2 linked regions of the Mus musculus genome follow. The protein of the gene in region 2 interacts with the protein of the main gene of each other region in a biochemical or structural test. Links are inferred from orthologs where the notes say so. Each region holds a gene or a part of one and is shown on either strand. Other genes may lie near its edges.

What was found.
Region 1: the proteins of Areg (region 2) and S100a4 form a complex in vitro, tested with the Homo sapiens proteins (2 studies listed by IntAct, with this or other methods). The link is inferred for Mus musculus from reciprocal best matches to the Homo sapiens genes AREG and S100A4.

Annotation. Positions count from the first base shown.
Region 1 is NC_000069.6:90,602,306-90,606,545, reverse strand, and holds S100a4 (protein S100-A4), read right to left. Parts: upstream 2,777-4,240; 5' UTR 2,740-2,776; intron 1,916-2,739; exon of another isoform or gene 1,788-1,915; intron 1,550-1,787; 5' UTR 1,535-1,549; coding exon 1,394-1,534; intron 807-1,393; coding exon 642-806; 3' UTR 501-641; downstream 1-500. Other genes in the region: S100a3 (protein S100-A3), read right to left, coding at 4,191-4,240. UniProt on the Homo sapiens protein: Calcium-binding protein that plays a role in various cellular processes including motility, angiogenesis, cell differentiation, apoptosis, and autophagy.
Region 2 is NC_000071.6:91,142,599-91,145,765, reverse strand, and holds part of Areg (amphiregulin preproprotein), read right to left. Parts: intron 2,278-3,167; coding exon 2,076-2,277; intron 1,433-2,075; coding exon 1,271-1,432; intron 1-1,270.

The DNA.
Region 1 (4,240 bases), on a different chromosome or scaffold from region 2:
TGGCCTATAAATGTCAGGGCTGAGTGCCAGTCCACCTCTCCATTCTTCTCTGGCTTCAAGACTCCTTCCTCATGACTCAGGCAGGCCTGTTGTCTTCTCTCCAGACCCCAACCAGCAGCAGATGTGACCTTTAATCCCATCCCAACTTCAGTTTGAGCCCAGAGGCAGTGCTGGAGAGAGGAGGGAGAACTGTGGGCTGGCTAACAGCACACATCTGGAGCCTTTCAAGCTAAGCCTCTGGTGGTTTCTGCCTTTAGTGTTCCCGGAGTTTGCTCTGTTGCATATATAGGAGCACGTAAACACACACAAACACACACGCACGCACACATGCACGCATGCATAAGCACGCACACACAAATACATACTTGCAATGTACTCAAAATAAGCCACCCACCCCTCCCCAACCTTTTTTAGTTTGGCCCCCACAAAGCTCCAGGTCAACTTCCAGCAGTCTCTACCACAGCCCTCAGCCCATAGCCTCCAGTCTCTCAGACAACAGCTAATAGTTTCAAAACCTTTTATTGAATTTGCTCAGCACTGTGCACATGTGCGAAGAAGCCAGAGTAAGGCACTATGCTCACAGCCAACAGGGAAGATCCCCCACTGGCAAACTACACCCCAACACTTCATCTGAGGAGTCTTCACTTCTTCCGGGGCTCCTTATCTGGGCAGCCCTCAAAGAATTCATTGCACATCATGGCAATGCAGGACAGGAAGACACAGTACTCCTGGAAGTCAACTTCATTGTCCCTGTTGCTGTCCAAGTTGCTCATCACCTTCTGGAATGCAGCTTCATCTGTCCTTTTCTGGCAGTAGAAGAGGAGCAATTAGAAGCCAACTCAAACCAGATATTTGCCTCCAGTCAGGAGCTCAGGAAGGTTTGCAAGCACTCCTTGCTAGCCTCGGGGCTAAACTATGGGATGAACACATGGGATAGCTGGGAAAGGATGTGACCACATCTTCCCCGTGCTTGTTTTAATTATCTTAATAGGAAACTGTCATAATAGTGATCCGTTAACTAATATAAGGTGTTATTGAGAGGATAATCTGCAGGCATTTGTGTGCCTCCACGATCATGTCTTCACAAATAAAAACTCGATTTCTAGTGCCCATCTCCGGAAAGACAGCCCTGATCTAGGCTGTGGTTTCAGACACTGACTGCCTAATGTGGTTGTTTTGGTTTTCCTCTGCCTCTTCAGTTATCTTCATCCTAAGCCTGTCTCAGCTGGGGGCTAGTGTGAAGTAGGTGGTTCATTGTGGTTCCGTACCAAGCACCCAGAGCAGGGATATATGCCAGCTATAGCTAAGTACTGCATCAAGACTAGTGCCTACCAGCCCCAGCCTCCTCCTGCAGATGCATCACGTGTGCAATACACAGGCAGGACCCACTTACCCCCAGGAAGCTAGGCAGCTCCCTGGTCAGTAGCTCCTTGAGCTCTGTCTTGTTCAGCTTGAACTTGTCACCCTCTTTGCCTGAGTATTTGTGGAAGGTGGACACAATTACATCCAGGGCCTCCTCCAAGGGTCTTGCCATGGTAACCGTTGAGACCTAAGGGCAGGAGACACAAAAGTAACATTCTCCAACCCACGCCAACAGTGTGTTGAGAACTGGATATGTGTTGCTGAGCATGACCCAAATCACACTCATTCTGTCCCCATTTTAAGTGCTCTATCCCAGCCAACTCTCTAAGAGATGGACCTCACCCCCTGGGGAGATCAGAGGAATGGGACCCATTGATGGCAAGAAGGTCACATGTGCTCTGGGCTCTGAAACCTGCAAAGCCTACCCCTCAAACTCTGGAGATCCATGCCAGCACCTTTCTGTGCCTCTCAGTCCTGGCCTCAACAACAGCAGTTTTCCATCAGCTTACTCACTCCCACAGCTCAACCACAAGCACCAGGCCCTGGCCCATTCTTCTCCCTCCCAGCGTTGGGCGCGGCTGCTGGCTGCCTGCCCAGAGGCAGACAAAAAAAAGTGGAAAAACCCCAGCTGCCTAATAGGAGTAAGATGAAGTGGCAGAGGTAGGGATGCAAGAGGAGAGGGTGGGGAAGCCAGGCTTTCTTGGCCTAGGTGCTATATGTTCATAGGGCTATTAAAAATAAGACACACTACAAACACGAATGCCTGCAGGAGGGTGCTGGAGAGATAGCTCAGTGGGTAGAGGTGCTTGCCACCAAGCTCCAGGGCCTGAGTTTGATCCCCACAGCCCACATGCTAGAAGGAACAGATTGACTCCCACACAAATTGTCCTTTGGCTCCCACAATGTCGCCTTGGCATTTGCTCCAGCCCAACCCATACGCTCATACACACAAATAAAAACTGTAATTTAAATACTGTAAAACAAAAAGGCCTACTGATGCCTTCGCTTTGCTTCCTGTACCCGAGTGTCCACACACTGTCTTGTATTACCCAGCAACACGAGTCAGCATCCTATGCATGACAGTGACTCCCAAGCACCACCAATATACACTATAGCAACATGCAAGCCAGCCTCAGTATCTCAAAACCTCCGGGAGCTCAGATGTAGCCATTTATACACTTTTTTTTTTTTTTTTTTTTTTTTTGGTTTTCATTCTCGTGAAAAACACACACACACACACACATACATGAACCTCCACATCAGAATCTCTCATCTGGATTTATTAAAGACATCTGTTCCCCCAGCAGCCCCCCTTTCTTCTACCCTAGCCTCAGCCTCTAATGCCGCTAGCAGTGCTATCAGACCAACACAACTCACCAGACCAAGAGAGAGGAAGTGCTGAATAGAGAGGTTTGGGGAGAGCCCAACAATCTGACCTATTTATACCCTGCCAGGCCCTGCCCATGCAGAGGATGGGGGAACATGGATACTGTGCTCTTGCTGTTGGTTGATGTAGTAAATGTCATAGCACCCTCGACCAGCCCAGTCTGGGAACCAGGCTTCCTGCTCCCTCCCCAGCAGGCACAATCAAGTAGTGAGTGAGCTCCAGTGGGCACGGCAGAGACTTGGATGGGGTGGACACCACCAAGCAGCCACAGCTCAGCCAGAAGTTTAGGAAGCTTTGAGAACGGGCAACCTGGACATGAGGTGTGGGCCACAGGAAAGGAGATGGAGATGTTATGGGCAAGGGATAAGGAGCTGCCCTGGAAATATGTGGCCCAGGAACGAAGGAGGTGACCCCAGCCAGTGGGACAATGTCAGCACTTCCCTCCAGCCTAAACAGCTTCTTGTCACAATCAGGAAGACCCAGGATAGAGGCTAGCAAGTCAGGAGGGACCTTGGGACCACCCCAGGTATGAAGTAGGAGCTATACCTAGGAGGCCATGATGGAGTTAGGGTGGCAGTGTGGCCTGGAGGTTTTCGAATGGATGGAAGCTGGAGTAAGGATATTGAGGAATGACAGGAGCATTCGGGGTTGAATGTTCAGCTTGAAGAAGAGAGTTAAAGAGGAAATAGGTAAAAGGGGGAGTCAGGATTAATCTCTAAGGATAGGGTACAAATTCGGGGATTGAGTGAAGGTTAGATGGAGGTTTGGCTTTGGGCTCCCACAACCATACTCTCCTTGCAGCATCTGGTCAGAAGTACCTCCCAAGGAGCCCCTTGTCCTCCTTGAAAGTCCAAGATAAGGACTTCTATCTCAAGACAGGGGACAGAGAGAGACAGAGACCCTCCAGTCTCATCTGATAGGACACGTGTTACCCCTACCCTCCTGAAATGTGTGCATTTCTACAGGGCCTGACACCGCTTTGGGGGTCCATGCCTTCCATGGTAAGCCTCCTACCTCCAGTAGTAAGGAGCATAAAGGAACAAGGACTCGGTCCCAAGGCCCAGTGTGTCCCATCAGAAAAAAACAAAAGTAAGCCAAGAAGACATTTCTTTATTGGGAGTTGAGGAGGCCCCTGCCACAGCGGTCCCAGTTGTGTGCACATGGCTGAGCAGAGATGTTCTTCCCTTCCAAGAAGAGAAGCGGCAAAGGCTGGCTACTGTCCCACCCCTCACAAGCTAGACATCCCTAGGAAAGCCTCGAAAGCTCATGGGTAGCTGGGTGGGGTTAGCACATCAAGAACTTGGCAAGTCTAGATTGAAAGGGGTACCACAGAGAGAGTGGGAAGGGTGTGGCTACACACCCAGGACCACCTCAAGGACAAAGATGGAGGACTGGAGCAGACCCTGCCCTTCTGGGATAGCGTACACCTTTGGATCAGAGGCTACTGGGGGCAAGGAGGCTCAGGGGGGCACTCTTTGAAGTACTCGTGGC
Region 2 (3,167 bases):
ACCTGTGTGAAGTTCAGTTCCTAGCACTGCCACAAAGAAAACGGGATGGCAACATAAACCAAGAGTCATTCCACACCCTCCCAGGGGAATCAGCTGAATGAAAAGCTGAATAAGCCACAAGTTATATCACTGTAAAACACCTTTAGTTCACAATTTCTTCTATGTCAAATAAGAACAATTTATAGAGGCTTTTTGCCTTTCCTAAATGTATTTGTATACCTGGCTTGAGGCTCTAGAAGAAATTCCAGGTGTGCAAAATAAATTTAAGCTGCACACCTAATGTCTTGTGCATAACAAAACAGCTCTTATGTGCCATTTTATCACCTTCTGATTTGAATTTAAGATAACAATAAACAATAGCAAGAGATAATTCCTGTATCCTGAAGAACAGCCGTGATGGATCGTGTACACAATCCAGTCGTTAAAGTAATTTACCGAGACCTAAAATTAGAATAATGAATCCACTGCTTTTCCCAAGCCCTAGAAGCAGTGAGTCATCCCAGAACCATGTGGGCCCTCCTCCAGCTTCCCCTATCCAGTGGCTTCTATCTGACAGACAATGCCATCCTCATGTACCCATCTGTGCCTGTGACCTAGAACAGTGGAGTGTGGGCATTCTTTGGTCCTGAAGCGAGGCGTGAGATCTGCCATTGCGCAGGGAAGATGCTGTGGGAGGACCACAGTAACAGAGGTTGTCATTGCTGCCTACGCCATGCCATTGGGAGGAAATGTTTCGCTTTGTTTCTCAATATGTTCCCACACTATGGTATCCGATAAGGACAAAAATAGGTCCCAACTGTCAGCCAGTGAGCACCATGGCATGGAATTACAAGCAAGAATGGTGCCTTGTACTGTGCGAAGTCACAGGTCTTTCCTTGGTTGCTCATTTTGAAGACCTTCGAGATTTGTTTGTTTTCCTTTTATGCCAAAGAAGTATATTTGGTGCTGTGAGCTTAGTGTGACCCTAGTTAGCTCCTCACAAGCTTTATGCTTACATTTAAAAATATACACAGATGATACTAGGGCATTTCTGAGTGTCAGAAATCACCATCATCAAAAATGGTAATCAAAATATCAATTTTTAAGCTAAAGACATCCTAATTCTGAAAGGTGGCTTTGTATATCATTTCAGTGGTAGTCAAAGGAATGCAAGGTTTGATTCTATTCTGCTCAGGGGTCACTTGCCACAAAAAAACTCATGTAAAATATGACAGTAGAGTCTGATAGGAATACTGACAAGAGTTCAGGTCTTAGGCTGTGATGTACTTACTGCACTGTGATAACGATGCCGATGCCAATAGCTGCGAGGATGATGGCAGAGACAAAGATAGTGACAGCTACTACTGCAATCTTGGATAGGTCCTTGTCATCCTCGCTGTGAGTCTTCATGGATTTTTCTCCACACCGTTCACCAAAGTAATCTTGATGACAACTGCAACATCATATTTCATAAATACAGGTGTTGATAAGGTTTTCTGCATCTCAAACATACTACCTAATGATACGGTCACTTAAGTGAACATAGAGAGGTCACGCCATTGTCTATTCTGCAAAGTCGTGAAACATAGAATACATTCTAGCTAAAGGCCTTTAAGAACAAGTTGTGATTAGTTTGGGTGTGGGTGGGATATTCCCAGAAGACACTGTGACTCATGCTTCTTGTTCTTTTAGGACCAAGCGATGACTTTGACTCCTGGTGTCACAGCTAATACATTCCTCTATCATTTAGTTTAGTTTTAGTGCGTTGAGAGGGTTTGGGGACATTAGAACAACATGAAAAGTTGTGTGATAAATACTTTAAGTTTTTTTTAAGGCTTAAAATATATGTACAGGCACATATATATATACATTGCATACATATAATATTTATAATAAAATGATACTGTGCACCAGTAGCCATAAAGCTATTTGTTACAGCCTTTAAGCTAAGAATCTTTTTTCTAGATTTACATGCTTATATTTTAATTGCCTGTACAAACATAATGTTGGCTCATGAAATCCTTGGTTTACACACTGGAAAAGTGAATAGTTTCTATTGATGGGGATTTCAGGTGTTGTGTAGGAAACAAACCTACTTGCATGTCACCACCTCCAGGTTCTCGATGTATCTGCATTCGCCATGAATGCAAAAGTTCTGAAACTTGGCAGTGCATGGATTCTTTTTCTTCTTATTCCTTCTGCCTTTTCCATTTTTGCCTCCCTTTTTCTTCCTTTTGGGTTTTTCTGTAGACTTTTCTCCTTCTGTCTTGTTTTTCTTGGGCTTAATCACCTGTTCAACTGGAGAGAAAGGAAGTTTGACAAAGTAAGATTAGATTTACGACTGCCCACGTTCTCTTTTCGTCTTCAAAATGATTTGGGTTACGTGAGACCCAGAAATCACAGCACTGAGAGCTACTTTGGCCTCATTAATTAAAGCAACACACACATGATAAAGCTGCACAGAATAGCTCTATCGGGCAGTGCACAGTAACCTCTGTTGCATGCCACTTGAATTCTTTTACCTAGGTATGCCTGTAGTTAGATGTACTGGACCTCGCATGACATAGAGGTAAATACATAGTTCAGTGAAGACAAGACTCATATTCTAGGACAAGCAGCTGGAACCCACATTTCAGCTTGTTTTGTTTGTTTGTTTGTTTGTTTTTCCATTCTATCATGTTCTTTTGAAGAAGGACAATGCCATTAAGATTGTGGTGTGAGACAAATCTGATTTTACTTGCCCACACACGTCTCAGGCTCCCTGTCTTAAGTTGGAAGTTAGTGGGTACCGCTTGAGGTGGAGAAAGCTGGAAAGTATTTATTATTATTATTATTATTAGTCATCATTATTATTAATAATAACAACGACAAATACCTTCCAGCGGGGTGGGGGGCTCGCTGTTGTGTTCAATCTATTTAAAATAGCGTGGAAATATTTGTCCCTGATGCCTCAGACTGTCACCTCAACTTATCAGCTCTGGAGTCTTAGGACTACGAAAGGTGTGGCTAATTACATGCTAAAGGCAGGAAAGGGAAGGTGCATTTTGTTGTGCTGGTCCTTGACTAGAAGTGTATGACAAAGCATTTAGCAAACAGAGACCCCAAGAAGGGAAAACACCACTAGTCCCAAAGGGTTTGCAAGCACCCGTTGCACAGAACACAAGAGACGTGTTAATAGAAGGCTTACA